Schizosaccharomyces pombe: one gene and its partners. The gene in region 3 interacts genetically with the main gene of each other region. Each region holds a gene or a part of one and is shown on either strand. Other genes may lie near its edges.

What was found. A genetic interaction does not mean that the proteins touch.
Region 1: mutations in rik1 (region 3) and chl1 together harm fitness more than expected from each alone (negative genetic interaction), as found in Schizosaccharomyces pombe (3 studies listed by BioGRID, with this or other methods).
Region 2: mutations in rik1 (region 3) and clr4 together harm fitness less than expected from each alone (positive genetic interaction), as found in Schizosaccharomyces pombe (4 studies listed by BioGRID, with this or other methods).

Annotation. Positions count from the first base shown.
Region 1 is NC_003424.3:5,396,982-5,403,134, reverse strand, and holds chl1 (ATP-dependent DNA helicase Chl1), read right to left. Parts: upstream 4,391-6,153; 5' UTR 4,022-4,390; coding exon 3,383-4,021; intron 3,318-3,382; coding exon 3,125-3,317; intron 3,066-3,124; coding exon 1,363-3,065; 3' UTR 1,032-1,362; coding exon of another isoform or gene 1,025-1,031; 3' UTR 973-1,024; coding exon of another isoform or gene 902-972; 3' UTR 725-901; downstream 1-724. Other genes in the region: rpl4101 (60S ribosomal protein L41), read left to right, coding at 902-972, 1,025-1,031; GARP complex subunit Vps51, read left to right, coding at 5,056-5,535; trehalose-phosphate synthase Tps2, read left to right, coding at 5,940-6,153. UniProt on the Schizosaccharomyces pombe protein: ATP-dependent DNA helicase important for chromosome transmission and normal cell cycle progression in G(2)/M.
Region 2 is NC_003423.3:453,272-460,143, forward strand, and holds clr4 (histone lysine H3-K9 methyltransferase (Suv39) Clr4), read right to left. Parts: upstream 5,140-6,872; 5' UTR 4,777-5,139; coding exon 3,304-4,776; 3' UTR 3,042-3,303; coding exon of another isoform or gene 1,731-3,041; 3' UTR 1,674-1,730; coding exon of another isoform or gene 1,397-1,673; 3' UTR 1,327-1,396; coding exon of another isoform or gene 959-1,326; 3' UTR 725-958; downstream 1-724. Other genes in the region: pleckstrin homology domain protein Meu6, read left to right, coding at 959-1,326, 1,397-1,673, 1,731-3,041. UniProt on the Schizosaccharomyces pombe protein: Histone methyltransferase which contributes to the establishment of heterochromatin by specifically methylating histone H3 to form H3K9me. Part of the Clr4 methyltransferase complex (ClrC).
Region 3 is NC_003421.2:1,464,786-1,473,167, reverse strand, and holds rik1 (CLRC ubiquitin ligase complex WD repeat protein Rik1), read right to left. Parts: upstream 5,287-8,382; 5' UTR 4,995-5,286; coding exon 1,872-4,994; 3' UTR 1,388-1,871; coding exon of another isoform or gene 1,355-1,387; 3' UTR 1,312-1,354; downstream 1-1,311. Other genes in the region: SPOM_SPCC11E10.09C (alpha-amylase-like protein), read left to right, coding at 1-801, 868-1,311, 1,355-1,387; translation initiation factor eIF2B alpha subunit Gcn3, read left to right, coding at 7,162-7,315, 7,373-7,512, 7,568-8,010, 8,107-8,382. UniProt on the Schizosaccharomyces pombe protein: Component of the Clr4 methyltransferase complex (ClrC) which contributes to the establishment of heterochromatin by specifically methylating histone H3 to form H3K9me.

The DNA of each region.
Region 1 (6,153 bases), on a different chromosome or scaffold from region 3:
ATGCTTTGTGCAGTGGAGCGAGATTGCGTTAAATATTTGGGGTGGTGTTGTTTGCTTGGCAAATGCCGCAAAAGAAAAAGCCACCTCTATCTCTTACTTTAAAAAAGGTATCATTCAGTTTTTACAGATATTAAATCCATTCTGTTATACACAATTGGTATTCATATACATTGCTAGCATATCCTTTAAATTTATTGGATTATACATTTTTTACATGGTATCTTTTAGTACCAAAGGGTTAACGTTGCATTTTAAAATTTGTTTTTAATAGATGATTAAAGTAGCTCAAATTGTCAAGGAGTTTAACAGTTCGACTTAAAAACACAGTACTTGTTCCGGATGCTTTCAGTATCTTATATAGCAGTCTAATTACAATGTCTAAGAATAAATTTATACTATTCTATGGCACAAAAATGCGTTTCACCTTCCCTGTAGACTACTTACTAGACTTTAAAGAATGTTTATGATATACCTGTTCTGTATACGGTTTACAAACTAAAGTATGTAGTATGCTTGAAGTTTACACAGCGTTTGACAATAGATCGCAAGTCGTATACAACAACATCAGGTATGTTGTCATTAAAGGATAATATGAATGGATGATATAGCATTAAATGGATTATTATTAAATCTGATTTTGAAGAGCTGAACCTTTCAAAAAAGATATGCAAAAGGAAGCACTTAAAAATCACTTACTATCGTTGACGGATCATTTGAAATAAAATATGTAATTAACCACTTTTTGTATGTTTACATTTCGTTCCTTGACATACTAGAGTAATTCTGTTACTTGACTGTACTTTTGAATGTGTTACGTCCGTATTGTGTGTTCTTAAAAGAGCAGTCACAATGTGCTATACAGATGAAATATTGCCTAGTCTGCTAGTCATCCATAACCACAATGCGTGATAAGTGGAGGAAGAAACGCGTGAGACGCCTTAAACGTAAAAGAAGAAAGATGAGAGCTAGATCGTAAGTGTTGTATTATATTACTCAGACCTGCAGACTTCTAACTTTGAATTAGTAAATAAACGGATCATCTACAGCTCGATGGACTGAATTAAGCGGTCCCTAGCGTGACGCTTGGATATCATGGCAGAGGCCTCTTCCTGCTCTAAGTCGTAACTTTTCTCAAGTTGGTTTTTTTCTACCTAAACAACCTTCATTTGCGACACCATTAGTGCAGTCTTAATTGACGTTCAAAATAGATCTTGTTTTTATACCTTTGACGAGTAATGATTTGAGTAGTCGGTAAATACGAGAGAGGTGTATTTTCTAAAAATTATAGAGTAATCTATTTACAATATGCGAAGCGTAATTCTAAAATAAGCCTATGTTGACGCTGTAACGCAAACCATATGTCTAATCACACATCTTTTTAGCCCGGAAAAAAGTAGCAAGTTGCCGTATAGCAGGTCCGAAATTAGGGCTAGAATGGATGTTTTTGCTTAACCAGTTTGGTAACTTCCTTTGTATACTTGATCGATTATATCTGGAATCCAAAAGAATTATACTTGCATAATCATCTCGGTGTCGAATCGCTCGACCTATACTTTGATTTACTGCTCGCATACAGGTATTTTCATAAAATTCCTGTGAAGCTTGTTTTGCATTTATGCCTTTCTCCTTGGCCTTTTCCTCTACGTATGAGACCTTGGCTTGCCATTCCACATCTTGCGAGTTAGGGAACGGCATTCCTACCACCATTACGGCTCGGCCAAGTTTATCTGAAAAGTTGATTCCTTCTGAAAGTCTTCCTCCTATCACGCTAAACAACATTCCACTCAAGCCTGCATCTACGGACTGTTTATAGTGTTCAAAAGTATCCAAAGGATTATCGCCAAAATCTTTACTTTCAATAAATAATGGTTTTTTTGCATTTAAACGATTTGTAATTCCATTCATTTCCCATACTTTTACAGCTTGCTGCAAAAATGCAAAACTGGGAAAGAAAACCACGACGCCATCTGGGATAATGGAAATGAAGTTCTGAAAAGTCCTTCCCAAATCTTTTAATAAATTCTCATCGTCTTTTCTTTTATGTGTAAATTCAAAAGGGACGCCTGCAGGACCTTGAGAAACTAGAATGGTTGTAATATTTTCAGGAGGAACTATATGGTCACATGAAAATGGAAGTATACGAGATTGTTCATCTGAAAATAAAAGGGTTATAAAGTCATCAATCGGTGACATGGTGCCACCAGCTAAATTCACTGAACGACATTGTTCGGTCAATATCTCGACATGTTTGGATGGATCGAGTAACAAATATTTTAAATATGGATTGTCCCCCGTTTGTTTTTCGTAAAATAGTTTCCCCTCAGGAGCAGGGTTGGCGATATTCAGTAAGAAAGATTCTAATTGCATTAGGACCGGTGTGTATGGATCCTCTTCATATCCATTGCCGTTTGAAAATCTTTCACTACGAAGATCATTCAAAGACTCCAATTCTTGTGTCCCCAATGAATGCATATATTTCGTATAACCATCGACTTTTCTTGCTAGTTTTGAAACATTCAAGTATTCAGACAGATGGTGCAAGTTAATTTGATCCGCACCATTTGATACCAGTAAAGAATCGACATTGATCACTTTTGAATTCGTATTAGTTTCTAGACAATTTAAAAAAAAAGATTTTAGGTTATAGACAACTTTGATCAATTGCTTTATATGCATTCTATTATTACCATTCAGACGTTTTTCAAACCGCAGAAAATATTGTTGCAATTGAGTTTCAGCAATACAAACTTGTCTAAACGAGATGGAAGAAGAATGCATGGAACAGATTGCATCAATCAAGTTATGAGCTTCGTCAATTATACATATATTGTCTTTAAGAGTCAAATTAAGCGCATTTCGTGCTGATTCTTGTAGCAATAAAGGATAAGGTAGGGTCACAATTTGAGCTGAATCCACTGCTTCCCTCGTTCCGTAATAAGGGCAGACCTTTAAACGCTGGCCCAATTCTACGAGTTCTTCAATATCCATTATTTCAGCAAGTGCTTCATCCCGGAAGTCCCATAATTGAGTGTTGTCTTGTAAAAAGGGACACTTGTGAGCTGATCCTAAAATGTAAAAGTTAATATTAAACTGAATTTTCAATCTAGTGAAGTTGTTAAAGTACCTTGAAGCTCAATGCATTTTTCATTTAAAGCAGACGTTGGTCGAAGTTTCCGGACTTCATTATTAATACAAAGATTCTTACGAGAAGCCAAAGAAACTACTCGTATTGGCGTTGAGAAGGTTTGATTATTGAGCTTTTTAATTTCCTGAACAAGCTGTTGCAATTGAGAGTGGGTTCGAGAAGTAAAATATATCTAGCAGTAGGTTAGAAAAATATTACCACTAAATGAATATTCCTTATAAGCACCTAAATTCGTACCTTTTGAACTATAGGTGGTTTTTCATTATCGGGACTTAATTTTCGCAATAGTTCAGAGACTTTGGAACTGTAACCGTTATTAAATAAATCTTCAGATTGTTCAGAAGTCGATGGCATCGTATATTCTGCTGTAACTAGATATTCGTCCATCGGATCAACCGAAGTATTAGAATTATTACAATTGTCTGAGGTTGAGGCTTCTGCGTTTATGTTCCTCCTTTTTGTTTCCCTGTGGTATGTAGTTGAATTATTGCTCATTTGATTTTTGCGACTTTGGTTCCTCTTTCGAATTTCTTCAAGGCGCTGTTCAAGCCGTGCATGTGTTTCTTTTACTAGATCCTTTTGTATTTTCAAGTCTTGCTCTAGAACCCAATCTGGAATTTTTGAGGATGTGTTAGATTTATTGTCATTAGATTTTTCATTATCCTCAAGTAAAACACCTCCATGTTCGTCTAGCCAAGTAAGTGAAGCACAGATTAAACTCAAACTTTTTCCCGTTCCAGTTGGTGATTCAAAAATCCCAATCTTTCCATCGCTGATGGAAGAGTACAAACTGCGCATGAACTCTAGTTGGATATCGTATGGGGTATACGGGTGATGAAAATTGGTTTTAAATTTTACTTCTTTCGAATGACACATTTTAAAGGTAAAACAACCTTTTCAGAAACCTGGAAATCTTTCGTATACTATTTCGAGTTTTGATAACAGTAATTGCACATTACAGAGCCAAATGTAAGGTTCCCTTGTAAAATAGTTAATAAAGCATAAAATAACACCTTATAAACACGGGAAAGCGTATGTTTGAGCTTAGATTTTTCAGTACAACAAAAGAGAGTAGCGATGATACTAATTGAATTTACCAAATCATATGCAAGCTGGTTTCTGAAGAAGGAAGTACTGTTGCATAAACTCCATCCGTCAAACTGTCTATTTATATAACAAGAAGACTTTTCAACAAAATGTTAAAATGAACAGAAGAAACCGCTTTGCACGAGGTTAGGCAAGTTTACTGTATGTTAAAAAACTGTTTCAGTGTATACTGAAGTTAAAATATATTTGCAAATTTAAATCAAATATTCAACTACTTTTAAGGGGAGGAAACTAAATTTAAGAAAATTAAATATGCATTTCTAGTTTAACAGAAAGAATGAGATTTTGTTAAAAGTGCTAAATTCTCTTTCAACACTAAGCCTACAATTCAGTTTAGAAGAACAGCAAACGCTCAAAGGTTAAATAATATATATATGCTTGACGCTCTCTGTATTATCGAATATTATCATAACTAATGGAAATAACTATGGAAAAAGAAGCTGAAGTATGGTTATGTAATTTTCTAACGCGTGCAATCGTTAGTCTTGTTTTTGTCATCTACCAAAGAATCGCAATACCGCGAAAATGCATTTTTAAAATGCGTTGAGATTTTGCTACCAGATCAGCAATAAAAGTATCGAAACTTTTTAATCAAACTATCAATATGAAACAAAGCAATAGAATGTTTTAAAGAAATATTCGAAGCATCGATATATGATATAAAGATGTACAGGAGTACGTTATTCACTCATTTCTATCACTAGAGCATTTTCTGTCGGCAACAGTATTTTGTTCGTTGCTGGCCTTGTAGATACATTTATTTCATTATTTATTAAGCACTGTCGTTAAGTAAATTGTACAATATGTCAAGTAAACGCCGTCAAGCTTTAAGAGACTTTTATAATCTACCTGGTTCAAATAGCTCATCTTCAACTGTTTCTACAACTCGAAAACCGTCTAGCTCTAATACCGTTTCGCCAGTGGAAGAAACAGCATTAGATAAAGTTGATCCAGAGTTCTCAGATCCAAATTTCGATTCAAATGCTTACGTTTCTAAATTTATGGAGAAAGCCACACCAGCCGAATTATTGCAGCGTGATAAATCTTTGGTTGCTTCGATTCAAGGGCTTTCTGTCGACCATAGATCTTTGGTATATAATCATTATAAGCATTTGTTAGAAGCTAGTGATGCAATTAACTCTTTTTGTAAAAATTTAAATACACTTCTACCTGCATTAAACGATGCTTATCAGGCATGTCCAAAGCCTACAAGGAAAAATGGAAATAATGATACGTATTCAGCTCCCCAATCTTTTAATGGAAATGAATTTTCAGCGCCATAGTCGCAGATTTGTTCTACCATCTCAGTGTTAGCGTCTTCACATCATTTCAAAAGCTTGGGCAATGACGAACACCATCTCATTTATCAGTTATTCATAATTCATTAGTAAAAAGGTTCATTCATCATATATTCGTTATTCGCAGGGAATTTCCATTTTCATATCGGTGAATTCGGTGTCTTACTACCTCTCTCGGTCATTTGAATTTTCCGTCATTTAGGGTACACTGTCCAATGTAATATTGAGCTTATAGTACGGTCTCCTACTTTCTATACGTTTAATCATCTGCTTAAACAAGCGCAAACGACATTGATTTAAAGTTTTTTGCTAGCTTATTGTAGTGATTCATTGGTTTTATTCTCTATATTTCTCGTCACTTCTCCTCGGTGAAGTTAAGTGCTCTAGAAATGCCTTCAGGCGCGCAAGGAAATACTCAATCAGCTGCTTATAAACGTATTGTTAATGTCTCTCGAAATTTTCAATTTAAAGCAGCCTTAAATAAAGATACTCGCGAATGGACGTTTCAGCATCGTAGTAGTGGCACTGCCCTTTACTCAGCAATTGCTTCATTGGGAGATCCTAGTTCACCCTGGGACGCCGTGTACGTAGCTTCTCCTGGAC
Region 2 (6,872 bases), on a different chromosome or scaffold from region 3:
GTTTATTTTGCTTTCTCGATATTCCTTTTCCAATTTTTACATGGATGGAAAGACCAGCTTTTTAACTTAAAAAAATATTTAAAAAAAATAATTAATCCATAGAGAATAATGTATTATTATGGAACTTTTATATTCTCACACTTTTTCTCCTACAAACTTATGTCGTTATAATGAAACAAATTGCTATAGTTTTCTTGGAAGAAGTGTAAATATTAAAAGGAAATTTCCAATTCAAAGATGTGGAAAGCATTAAAAAACATCCTTCCATTCTATTGAAAATTTTAAACAATTTGAAAATACCTCGAGTTTGGATTTGCTTTTTTGAAACTAGCGTTCGTCAAAAATAATAAGTAAATAAATAAAAATTTAAAATCTCGTAAAATTCTTACCAATTAAAACCTACTTAGTTTTTAAGCAAAACAAATGAGCAGAATAGTTAAACAACATTTAATTTTTATAAAAAAAGGAACTAATGGTGACAATCATGTATAAAGTCAATGAAAAATATGGCTCATCTGTTGTTGTTAAACAGATTTCAACTCAAATGAAAATTTTAGGATGGTAGTCGCAATTAGAAATTAAAGACAAACACTTAATTGTAAAATCTCTCAATACTATATAGTTCATTCAATCGCAGACAGCTCGATTCCAGAAGAATGTATATGTTTTGATACGAATGAGCGAATACAAGATTTAATGGCCGTTGAAGATTTTATTAATAAGAATGAATTAGTAGAAATTTTTTAACATTTAAAAAGTAAATTCTATGTATTTTCCCTTTTCTATTGATGTCCATCGTTTGTTTGTATATTAGGTAGTCGATTTGTTTGTTTACATTCTCGCCAACAATTGGTATTCAAATAACCAGCTTGGCGCAGACTTTTCCTCTACCACAAATATTTACAGCATAAAAAAAATCCAAAATTGAGAGCCTAACTGTTGTTTTCGACTTCTTATCATGTCTTATGAGGGCCGTGAAGAACGACCTGAGCAGATTGCTGAACCTACTTTCGAAAATGTGTCGGAACACAATGAACATGATTCGGGATCTGCTGAGGCCCAGGTGGAGACACTGGAGGTGCCATTGAGCAACGAAACCGACAATGATGATGCCACTGAAAACGCTGTTCCTGCAGAAGTACAAGCACCTGAGGAACCCAAGGAGCCTGAAACAGTCGACAATATCGATCCTGCAGATGATGATCCAAACAGCGTGGCAGCTCCCAAGGTTGAAGAAAAAAAATCCAAGAAGAAAGCCAAGGATGAAAAACCATTGACCTACACCACTGGTGGGTATTTATACTGTCGATCCAACGGACTTATTCCGTAAGTCAAAACAGCATCCATTTATTAAAAATCAAACAATCGATTGAGTAATCTTACTAACCACATGTAGTCATGTCATGAAAAGGTATTTTTATATGCTAGAAGGCCCTATGTCTATGGATTTATTAGACCATTATTATAAAAAACACTTCCATGGTACTTTGCAAGGTAACCCAACGGAACCTTCCTTAGCTTCTGAGCAAATGCACGACTCTGATGCTGATTCCCTCTTCCAGTCTGCTAATGATCACCTTAACCGTATCGCTAAAGCTACTCAAGACTGCCGTGGTTTACTCTTTTACTCCAAATCTCAATCAACTAGTGTCCCAAGCGGAATCATTAATTTGGTAAGAATTCCTAATTCCCCTGATTTTTAGTTTTAACCGTGCTAACTGTATTTTCAGACTGATGCAGTATCCATAGAACCCGGTACTGGAAACAAATTCACCATCAATTTTAACAATGGTAAATCAGAAACACTTGAAGCCCTAGACCCAGAAAGTAAAAATACATGGATTACTGATCTCAAAAATGCCATTGCTAAGAAAAAGGAAACCAAAGATAAAATTAAAGAGCTTCGTGCTTACAATGACACGCTTAAAAGACTCGGCAAGTTAGCAGCTCGTTCAGGTCCTTCAGCAAGTGAAACATTTCGTTATTTCCTTCCAATGCTTTCTAACGGACGGGACGCGAAAAAGTCATCTAGTAAATCTCATGGCGGAAAACAAAACAATTCTGTTGCCAAAGACGGTCTTTTTGACTTTTTTCAAAACATGATTAAGGGGAAAACTCCGCAAAACGATACGGCTAGTCCCATTGATAATGAAACGTCAGCTGACCCGGTTGATACTACTGTTGAAGCACAATCAGTCGAAGTTCCTGAGAATGAAACTAACCAAATTCCCACCACTGAAGAACATTTTCCTGCTACTACGGAAGAAGTGGCTCCCGCATCAGAAGAAAAACCAGCCACAGGTCCGGCAGAAGAATCAACATCAACTCAAAATGTTGAGCAAGCTTCTACTCAAAATGATAACGGAACCCCCATCGGTCAAATAGCAGACGCCATTGAAGAAGATGTTAAAGGTACAGCCCAATCAGTTGAACAAGCTTTCATAGAAGAGACTGATATTGCACTTCCTGATATAGCACTTCCCGATGTTGCGACCCCTACTGCAGACGATCAAGACCCTTCCACTGCAGCTACTAATGAAGAGAGTGTTGTCAGCAATGAAGATAGAACGTCTAAGAAAGCCGGAAAAAAGCATCATCGGCATCATAAGAAGAAAAAAGGAGGCAACAAGAGAGTATTCGGCTTTAAGCTTCACAAGTATGCTAAACCTACCAAAAGTGTTAAAACTTTACAGGCAGATCCTTCCCTTGAATTTGCTAAGGCAGGATTTGAGATATTTCCTTCCAACCTTTCAAAGAAGCTCTCAGGTTTGGTGCAAAAAAAAGTGCATAAGAAGTTTGATAAAGACGGGAGACTAAAAGAAATTTCCCAGTTCTCAAAAACCACAATAAAACCGGAAACTCCCTTAACTCCTACAACAACTCCAACGCCTCGAACAGCTGCACAAGAAGACCCAGCTGAAGAAACAACTGATGCCCTCGCCTCAGCAGAAGGAGAAAACAATCAGATGCCCCAGGTGCTCGAAACAGAAGCAGCTCCTTCTATAGCTTCTGAAGGACGGTCCATTACCGTTAACGCTTAAACGCCCTTTTTACTTCACATGTGCGCAGCAGATGAAAAGAGTTTTTCCATTAACGCTAGGCTTTACAACAATTACTATAATGCTTTCAACAAGTGTAAAAAATATAAGCACCGATATGTTTTACCGATAATTGTTCGGCAAATCCCACAGGTCAGATAATATACATAATCTCGTTGCTTAGAAAATGAATGACCTTTTTCAGTTTAACAGTAATGGAGAAAAACAAATTGTAATTATTGGAGTCAACCAGTAATAAATTAGCTTAACCGAAAAGCCAGCCACGACAATTAGCGGAACCACATTTGCACTGCCGGCGAAGTTTTGAAATTCTATTTTGCTGAGATTTTTGAGATTGAACAGGTGAGAAATCTTTTGCACCAGCGTAATCAAATGTAAGCTCCTCTAGAGGCTGAATGTCTTTGATGGCAAAAAAAGCGAGATCATAAATGGTTCGAAATCCATGGTTCCGAACAGCAGAATAAATAGCTATATTAGGTGAACAGGAGTGGTTAAAAAAACGAGAGACATCTCCATAGTTCTGAGCATCCACTGTATACTCGCTAGCATCATCAAACATGTCTAAATCAAATAAATAGGTAATACCGTCGTCGTCATAATTTTTGTCACGCTTGGCGGCCTCTGCTGAAGTTATGACTTCTCCTAAATAGCAAGTGATAAACGTGCCAGCAGGGGCAAATCGAAGCGAACGTACACCCCATCCTTTTTCTTTTGTTTTAAATATTTCAAGCGGAAGAGTTCTACCACGTTGAACAACGCGATTAGGACACTCCATTGAACAAGAACAAAAAGAGTTGCATTCATATATAACGGCACCCGTATCTGCACGGACCCGCCCCTGTGCATCATAGGCAAAATGAGTTGGCTCATCCAAATCATCTAAACACTCACAACGAGAAGGATTGTTAAGGTCACAACCGCCAAGGGACGAGCAATTGCATCCAGATTGAAAATTTGGATCAGGCGGGATAACACCTTGTGTTAAGCGGTACTGGCTAATGAATTGAAAATCTAAAGATGGACAGGGTTCATCGTCAACTTCATTGACAAGCGTTACTTCGGGTCCTTCAATTTCCCGCAGTTTCTTACGAAATAGCTCTCTCTTTTCGTAAAAACTTAGATGGGTATAAGAGTCAAGTTTGGAAGGGTTTCGCGGTTTTGTGAGAATTGAAGATGTTTTGGGGGATGTAGCTTCTTTAATAGAATTGGAAACTAGTTCTCTTTTTTGAGATTCCTCCTTCACTTCATTTCTCGTCTTCCCCAGCTTCTTTGAATTTGTATGAAGACTATCGTCTAAAATGATACTAGTATCATTCGTCGTCAGAGCGGTGGATTGTTTTCGAGATTGTCTCTTGGTAGTTTGAGAAGAAAAAACCTTTTTATTTTCCTTTTTTACATTCAATTCCCGCGAAAATCTTTGAGAACGAGGCACTGACTTTGAAGTTTGATGTTGGTGCTTTTGTCTACTGTTTGGATGTGGATTGCTCGCATGGTGCGGTGAATCCGAGTCGGAGTTACTTCCCTTTAGTCTCCTCTTCCGCCTTTTCCATTCTGCTAAAACGGCAGAACATCCAGAAAGGTTCTCAGGGGGCTCCCAAGTATCACTTCTAGATGAATAGTTCAACCATCGAATGCGATATAGTTTGACAGCTCCATTACGATCCAATTTTTCGTCCACAATCCTTTCAACTTCATACTCCTCTTGTTTAGGCGACATTCGCAAAACTAATAACCTCTTGTTTGGTGAGATGATTTTTAGCAAACCCTCCAAATGATGCCTGAACGAATTTAAAAAATAAAATAAGGAGAGGGTTTATGTTAATATGACAATTGCTAAAGGACTAAAATAATAGACGACCGCGAACTCAGAATATAAAACTGAATGTTTTTTAGTAATGAGCAATAAATATATAAAGTCGATGTGTTCAATTTCAGAGCAAAATTGAAGCTCTGAAATTTGAAAAAGGTATCAAGTACAAAGTAATTTTAAAGTTATAATATACAAATCAACTTTCAAACAACAATCCAAACTAGCAATGCCAATTCATGTTATAACAGTTTGTATTTCGACCAGGTTGTTGAATCGCACTCCTTTACAGAAGTCAAAATTTAAAGAAACGGAGAATCGCCCCGTAAAGGAAATACGGTGTTAACAACACACTGCTCTAATGAAGAACACGTAACGTATCACTATATGTCATATGTTAGGATATTACTTTAGAGCAGTTTATTGATAAATGCGCAAAACCATTTTCATATTTACATAGACGCTGGCTAATGAAGACTAAAAAGATTATAAATTGAGCTGCAACTGAACTGAGGAATGAACTTCAGTTATAAGCTATATTAGTTATAGGTCACAATGCAATCTAGATAATTTAATACCTATACTCAATTGCTACTTGTAATACCTGTGTATTGTAATACGTTAACAAGGAAAAATTACCGCAGTTCTATGTTATCGTTAAAGCAGATACCAAACTGCGTAGCTGACTTTGTATCAGTGTGCAGCACGGAGTCTAACCCATCTGTGTCTAAATAAGAAAGTTGAGCGTTTTTAAAAAACAATAGTATGTTCAATTGCTCTATAATAATAAAAGAAATGAAACAACAGTAAGATTGTCCATAGAAAAACTTTTTACACAATTAGTCGCATCGCCATTTTTATAATGATTAAAAACTATTATATTTGACTATCGGGTTTTGATTTCGGTACAAAGAATGCCTATAAACAAGCTTCTCGCAAAATTAATAAAGTAAGGAACCAAATACCTTTGCATTCGAGCATTCATTTTTTAATAATGGTTAAACTTGAGCTCATTAGATAAACAAGGTCAATTAAAAAAGATTGAGTCTCCAGCCAACTTTCAGAACGCGATAACCCATAACCCATTCTAGAAGCACATGTTGGTATTTGGTTTTTTCGCTTGTTAATTTTGAATGACAATGGAGAAGTCATGTACTCCATTTCTGGATAAATTTTCTGCAGGCTCTAAAGGTTGATTAACAGTAGCCAATCCAAAATGTTGCTAATTTGGTTCAATTTTGAATTGCAAATCGGTGGTGCCAACATGCCTTAAAAAGTTCCATTTAAATTTAAACTTTGAAAAAATGAATAAAGAAAACAAAAAACCATACATGCTTTGACCCATATCTCTAGTGCTTCTTAATACTCTATGTGAAAGCTCCCTTGATAATTGTCGATCTCAATTAGATGGTGCGATAAATTCACCAGACTACAAACTCAAAATTTGATTGCAGAATACCTACTGTACATTAGATATATTTTTTGAACGAAGCCTTTAATCCTATCCCTTCATACCATAAACAAAAAAACAAAGCCCAATATAACATGCCAGGGATTCAATATTACCAATGATGCCTCTAGTGAATGAGAATGAAATTTCAGATCCATATACTGTGCACAAAAGATTCAACAAATACACTTTGAATGTAACTAATATTGTAGCCACCATACCGGGTTGCGAAATTTTCAATGTGGAATAGGCCATACCGAAGACAAAATCTCTGTATATATTTACGATTTTTCAATTGTATTTCTTGCTTTTAATCTTGCTTTATTATTTATTATTTGAAGTGTGAAAGGACAAGATGTAAATATATTAACAATTGCATATTCGCCTCTTATAGAATTATGACGGAAATTACCTACTTGCCGAACGAATGTGAAAATAAATAAAAGTTCTTTAGCATCTTTGGAAAAAAGAGATTAATTTCGTTTAGTTAAAGCATTACCATATAAACGGCTTTGTACGATGTGCATGAGCAAAGTCCATAGATATCAAACAAATG
Region 3 (8,382 bases):
AAGGGTATTACTCGTAACCTTGATTACATTAAAAGTCTGGGATGTACGGCAATATGGATTAGCCCAATAGTTAAAAACATATCTGAGACTACGGATTGTGGTCAGGCATATCATGGGTATTGGGCACAAGATATGACTCAGTTAAACGAGAATTTTGGGACAGAAGAAGATTTGAAAGAACTAGTCAATGCAATTCATGAGAAAAATATGCTTTGCATGGTTGACATAGTTGTCAACCATATGGGTCATGCCGGAAGCAAACCCGTAAACTTCTTACTTTATCAACCATTTAACTCTGGGAAGTATTATCACAACTGGCAGTTTGTACAAAATTACGATGATCCCCATGAGACAATTACAGGTTGGTTAGGAGATTCACATGTGAACCTACCAGACATTCGAACCGAAAAGAATGAAGTTCGCAAATTTTTTCAAAATTGGGTTTCTGATCTAATTAAACGTTATCAATTTGATGGTATCAGATTGGACACAGCCAAACATGTCGAAAAATCCTTCTTCCCAACATTTATTGAAGCAGCTAATGTATTTACTACAGGAGAAGTTTTTCATGGAGATCCTAAAGTCGTCGGGGATTATCAAAAATATCTCCCTTCGACTTTAAATTTCCCTTTATTTTTTCAATTGCGGGAAACCTTTCTTGACCCCAAACATTCTATGTTTTCATTTTATGATAAGGCCGTACTTGATGTTCGACATTACTTCAAAGATGTTACCGTCTTGTGTAACTTTTTGGAAAATCATGATTTTCCTCGCTTTTTTCATGAAACCAAAGACATCGCCGTAAGTCTATTGAACAATATTTCAATTTAGTACCTGCATTTTTTATATATTTTAACATTTATTTAGCTGGCTCTTAACGCATTAACTGCACTTATTTTCATGGACGGTATTCCAATTATCTATTATGGACAAGAACAGATGTTTGACGGTGGTAGCGATCCTGACAACAGAGAAGGTCTTTGGAAAAGTAAATACAATACTTCCAATCCAATGTTTAGACATCTTTCTTCAATGATACGCACGCGTCAAAATTTGGTTGAGACCTACCCAGAGTTTACATACGTGCTATCTTTTCAACTATACATTGACGATTCAGTTTATGTATTTACTCGTCCAGGAGTCATTATAGCCATAAGCAATGAAGGCTCTACCTCGTCGTTTAAAGTTGAAATAGATTTGAAAGAACACTGGAAAGAAGTGCCTTCAAGTTTTACAGATATTCTTACTCAGAAAACCATCCCCTGTAAAGACCATAAACTGAAGATCAAATCAAAAAGTGGCTTGCCAAAGGTAAGCATTTAGTTCATGTTTTATTCTACTAACAATTTTTAAGATCCTAATTTCCTCTGACCCTAGCTTCCTATAGAGAAATTACACTAGAGTTTCTCCAGTTTAATTACACTCCAAAAATACTTGGCAACACGTGATCGCCAAATGGAGAAAGTTTTTTTTTAATTTTTTAGCTTAAAAAATTCCTTTGAGCTTTTATGCCAGTTGAAGTGCTCAGTTTCTGTCATATGAAATTTAATAGTTTCATTTTAATTATTGAAATCCAGAATATATGTCATCTCGTCTTAGATAGATGAGCGATGCAACAATTATGACAAATATCTTGAATTTCGAAGAAGATTTTACGAAAGAAATTGAGACTGATAACTTTTTAACCAAGCTTTATGTACTTGTATTTATCAGTGCCATGTTGCGACAGCTTGTGACTTATAATTATAAATCAAAAGATTTTTTTTGTATTACTCACAAATGCATAATACAGTCCTAGAACCAAACTTCCAAATTTGCAATGATCCATAAAGTGTAAGATAATAACTCAGAGCAAAAAGGCAATAATACGTTTAACATAAACTTTGTATTTCCTCAAGGAGGGCTTGAACTTTTTGGTAAGAATTGAGTGATTCCCTATGTTCTACACTTCTGCATAATCGGAAAAGTTCTGAAGATGCCCATCTTTTGACATCGATAACCAAGTCTCCATCAATAAACGGGACTGGAGAAATGAGGTCTGCTTCTATACTTTCGTAGTCCATAGATGACAAGTATGAAAATTTTAATTTTCGAATTTTTCTTGTAAGTTCCTCCAGTTCTAGCTCCTTATCTTTTAATGATACTATACTCCCAATAGCACCAATTTCCGTTGCAAAAAGCATTTTTGGCTCTAAAAACGAATTGGTATTTGTTATTGGGAAATTTTGAAATTTGCTAACTTTATCATGCAGATGGTACACACTTTCACAAATGAATCTGTCATTAAAGTTTTTTGCATCTTTGTTATAACGAAGAAGTTTTAGCAAGCCACTATTAGTTGCTATTATATAAACTGTTCCTTCATATAATGCTGCTTTCACAATGTTTTCTCCAAAAAGGTATCTGGCAACGACAATAAACTTTTGGCCATCGAAGTACATAATCGTAAAACGTCCAATACTGTCCGCTATAGCAATCTCGTTACCCTCTACGATGAGTTGTAAAACTATAGAACCTAGTGATATCCTAGAATCTATCATAAGCCTTTCCTCGGTAAGTTTAACGATTGCAACTTGTTGCCCAAATGCAACGATGTATCGATCATTATATACCCCCAGATCTATCACGGCCGCAGATAGTACCATAGACGAAACTACCTTCAAAGACTGAAGCTCCTTTTCAAACTCTAACAAAATTAATCTTCCATTTACCGGCACCAACTTATCTTGTTCTATAATGCTTGTTCCTACAAGTAAAGAACTCTCATTAATCTTCAAAACTTTCTCACAACGTTCATTTTCGGTAAAAGAAAAAACCCTGAACGAATTATCATCATAACTATCGACCAACTCCAAGTGATAATTTTCCTTGTAACTTTCGTAATCTTCATATCTATTCTCGAGTGTTCTAAGCAACAGTTTATTTTGAAAAATAATGGCTTGTAACGGAACATGCTCCAAAAGTACTTTTCTTGGGGTCAATTCTGGCAATGGATTAAGTTGAAGGAATTTCAAGCCCCCTAATGATACAGAAATGAGAAAATCCTTCCCTGAGTTATCACGAAACTGACACACATCATAACTTTGAGGCATACTAAGCGGCATATAACATAGTGCTCCATTAAACCCATATACCATGTGTGGACAGTCATTGTTGCATATGATATAGGTACCAATATTCATCGTAAATCTCCTAAACGATACAGGGGTTGTACCGAAATGTTTTGTTTCAGAGAATACCAGATTATTTTTGAAAAGTACATAAGATTTAAATTCACCACTTCCGCTAGAAACTAAAAGAAGATTTCTGTCAACACCAACTCCTTCTAAAATAATATTTCTGGGCAATGATGGAACGTTGGTTTGAAAGGCGCAGCTAATTGACGAATTATCTGAGAATGTAAGTATCATCACCTGCTTAGACCAAAATCCAACTCCTATTTGAAATTGCGCTGAAAAATCAAGGCAAGAAATTTCACTTTCAAAAACTTTTCGTGCAACTTCTGTATCTTTTTTAAATATTGCCAATGCTGTTCCATTGATAACGATTGCGGAGTATTCTTGATAGCAAGCAGCGTTCGTGATTTTTTCAATATAAACTAAACGAGAGCGCTTTGCAGAATCGTAGATACAAAGAAAAGTAGATGTGACTTGTACAAACTCACCATTCGTCCCTGAAAGCGCAATCGTCCTTTCTTTGGTTGATAGAGATGGGTCTAGCTCTAACTGGAAATCTTCTTTGATATTAAAAGCAACAGTTTCACTAGGAAACCCGAGGAAGAGCTTATGCTCTGGATATGATGGTAGGACCATAGCTCGAAGGATGCCCGAGATTTTCGTCTGCCCTAAAATATCTAATTTCAGAGCATGTTGAAAATAAATTAAAGAAGCGTTTCTTGGTGTTCCTGCGCATACAAGGAAACTTTTTTCAATGTCGTTTTTGAGTACTAGTAAATCATGAATGGGTCCTAAGTTGGGTATTGAGTCAACATCCTTCAAAGTAGACAGGTTAATAAGTTTAGATTCCGAATTTTTGCTTCCGATAAACAAGAGTCCCTCATGGATGGAATTTAGAGAAGTAATAAAGTCGAAAGGTGGGATTGGTAGTCTTTCCATAACCAAGCTCCATTTGTTTTTTCCCAAGATACTCGAATATACTCCGAAAAGATATCCATTAGTATCACAAACAATATAATGCATCTTTTGCCCTTTCAAAGGAGTCCAATGCATATAAGTAGTACAAGGACCATTGATTGTAACAAAATTACCGCGATACATGCAATGAATAAACAAACTCTCAAAAACCAGCAAACCTCTTTTTCCAAAGGGCATGATCATTGACGGTTTAACCCGCTCAAATAGTCTAATCCCCTTTCCCAAACTTTTTGAGCTTAAATCTAAAAGAAAAGCTGTTACATAACAATCTAAGCCATCGCTGTGAAGGACCACAAGAGTTGGGGTACTGGAATCATTGAGAATGCACATATCATATATGAGATGCACTGGAAAAGAAAAAGGAAATCCGCTATCTATAGAACGGCCAGTTTTCAACCGTTCTTCGGCAGAAAGGATTCTAATACATATCATGGAAATTTCGTCAATGCTTAAAAAAATAGCACGCATCCTTAAGTCGACAAGGCAGTAGCTTTTCGCGTTGCGATTCCAAGGAAATGTAACTCGATAGCGAACTGGAGGATGGTCGACGATCACTTTTTGATAATCCTCGTCCCAATAAATCGAAAAATAAGTATCATCATTGAGAACTACAAATAAATAGTCTCTATCTAATCCTGGAGGGCGATATGGGCGTATATGTTTCACCGTAGAAAATAAAGGGATAGAGGTAAAGAATTGTAAGCCATGAACCTCACTACAGAGATAAATATTAATTTTTAAGGCTTGTAATAAAACTAAGCAGTTTTCAGATGATATAAAATGACATGAAGTCGCTGTGTCTACCGCCGTTGCCCAGAAGGAATGAACACATAAAGCCATACACGATGAAATCCATAAACTGATATAATAAAAGGAATAAAGACTTTTTTTAACAAAGAAAAAAATAAAAAAAAGAAGCTTTGAGTTGGTTCAAAAGATTATGACTAGACTTATGTGATTAAAAAACAGTTGAATACAAAAATAAAGAGTGGACGGCCAAGAGCCACAAAAGCCTAGAAAAAGGAATTCAAGATAGAAAAAATATGCTACCAAGTGACAATCTCTATCAAATCCTTACCAAAAAATTTCGATTTTGAATGAAAGTGCAAGACGCCAGTTACAGGCACTCCGCAGGGAGAAGAAACGAGATATGCAGTCTCTATACATTTTGCGCAAGCGAATTTATTGTAAAAGTTGATATGCATTTTTTAATATCAGATACTACACAAAACATTTTCTGATAATCATAAAACATAAGACATTTTCAACTTGCATCTTAACTAAGCCAAATTCTACATCAATGTTATAAATTTTAGCATTAGCCATATTGGGGGAAATCGAAAGCTATTGATATTTTTATAATTGCAAAACGATTTGATAATGTAGAGAAGATATTGGAATATGTTACTCTCATCGATGAGCAGAATTAAAAGCTATGGGAGATAACGACTATTGCTATTGAAAACAAGAACTAGGCACGCAAAGAAATATATACCTTCTTTACTATAGTGCATGGTATTAGAGTTACTTAAAAGATTATTTTAACAACTTGCCGATCACGAGGTGATTCACAGATTTATAGCATAAATGAAAACCTACGGATGTCTAGCAATAAAGTTAGGATTTTACTGAAATTCGAGTCGACAACTAAAACATAATATTTTTGTAGCATCGCTTTGAATGATTGAGCATGTAAATATTTAGATATAATTGAAAGCATAGAAATTATCATAAATGATTTTCTTTAGATGCTGAAAGTAATAGCGTTTTTTCTATACCAGTTTAGTGTTCGCGTCATCCATAAATACCGAAGTAAAATCAAGCTTAATATAAGCGAGATTTACGAAGGTTGGACTAAAGATTAGTTTCTCGTAGAAATGGTCATGAACTTTTGAAAGGTCTCTTAAACATAAAATAGTTTTTTAAAAAACTTTCTATATTACTTTTTACCAAATCCAATTACTGCTTTCATCAGTACTCCTTTTTTTTTAAAATGGAAGCGTTTTGACATATTTCGTTCATGATACGCTCAACTATTAGGAACATAGTAAATTATACTACAAATTCACTATCTATACAATGATAAGTATCGTTGAACGTTACATATTGGAAATCAACAGTCAAGCATTGTTTACTGATCACCGAGGAAGAATTTCATGATTATCCTCAGATGTACTCAGTCAAGAATATGATATTAAAATTATTCTCAATATTTAGCTTTAATTAAATATAAGCTATTTAATAAACCAATTTATATGTAAATACCATTCAAATCACCTACATAAATATCTATAGGAACATATCTGTAGATCAGTATCCAAAACGCCGTATAATGTCAGCTACGCAGTTTGGTATCTGCTTTAACGATACGAAAAACTGGTGAATTTTGCATATGATCCATTATATTATAATAGCCGGGTTATATAAGTAATGACTAAGTACTGGTATTGTACTATTTAGGTTATAATGTCACCTATCACTTATAACTGAACTGCGAAATGAGGTTTAGTTGTATCTCTATCGATTCTATCCAAATAATCTATCTGTTAATATAGTATTATCAATATCAATCTCGACATCGCATCATCTACGTTGCGTATCACTATATGTCACATGTTCTAATTATATATCGTACCATGTATGATACGATATTGAGATTGATCTTAATGATAATCTATTAAGATCTATATTATCTGAATAATATAAATAGAGCTACTGCTGAACCTCGTTCCTCAGTTCAGTTATGAGCTATATTAGTGATAGGTAACATTATAACTCAGTTAATACAATACCTATACTCAGTTGCTACTTATACAACCTGTGTATTGTAATATAATAGATCACAAGGAAAACTCACCGCAGTTCTACGTATCCTTAAATCAGATACCAAATTGCGTAGCTTACAATTTAATACAAAAAGGCATTGCCCGTTATTTGATTTTGTTGGATATCCTTAAAGTATGGAAAAGATGTTGCTACTAAGCAAGAGCGTCTAGCATCTGCGAATATGGTGGAATCGGATTCTTCGGGAATCGTTCGACATTCTCAAGGAGAATTTGACATCGTCCAGGTTTACAAAAAATTTTTGCAAGATGATCCAGAAATCACGATGCCTGTAGCCGCCATTGAGGCTTTAGTCCAGCTTTTGTCGCGCTCTCAAGGTATGTTAATTTGTAGTACTCATGTGAGAAATGAATTTACTGATGTTTTTCTATTAGCCAAGACAATTTCAGAATTTATGGACATTTTACAAAATGGCTCAAATACGCTGAAGGAAGGCGTTCAAAACAACATTTCGCTTTCAGCTGGTTGTGACATTTTCCAACGGTTTGTCACTCGATCACTACACGATGTCGGGGTATGTGTTGATGCAAAGTAGTTTTCTTTTCTTTACTAATTCTCCACGGCTTTAGGATTTTGAGCAATGCAAACGTCACTTGGTAGAAAATGGAAAACTCTTTATTCAGCGTGCTCGTGCTTGTCGACAAAGAATTGCACATTTAGGTTACCCTCTTATTCGAGATGGTAGTGTTATTCTTACCCATGGGTTTTCACGCGGTGTTGCGGCTGTTCTTTTGGCTGCTGCCAAGCGTCACGTTCGTTTCAAAGTTTTTGTCACAGAATCAAGACCTAGCGGCTCAGGCTGTCTAATGACGAGAACATTAAAAAATGCTTGTATTCCTACTTGCATGGTTTTGGATTCCGCTGTAAGCTTTACTATGAACCGTGTAGATTTGGTCTTGGTTGGCGCAGAAGGTGTTGTCGAAAACGGAGGACTCATTAATCAAATCGGTACTTTCCAACTTGCCGTTTTTGCCAAACATGCACATAAGCCCTTTTACGCAGTTGCAGAAAGGTACGTAAACGTTGAATCCATTCAGCTTACAATTATTTTTCCCTATGATCTCTCCATTTCCCTGTTAATTTTAAAATTTGTACTAACGTTTTTTAGTCATAAATTCGTGCGTATGTTTCCCCTTTCTCAATATGATATTCCCTTTAGTCGTCCTATTCTGGAATTTGATGATCCATCTCCTGAAACTGTTCATCCTGAACCTGAACCAATTCCAACTCCATCAGATGCTATTCATAACGAGCTGATCATGAATGAAGAACAAATTCGAAATAATCCTACTTTGGATGTTACACCACCCGAATTTGTCTCAGGTCTCATTACCGATTTAGGGATCATTGATTCGAAGAGTGGGGTAAGCGAAGAGCTAATTAA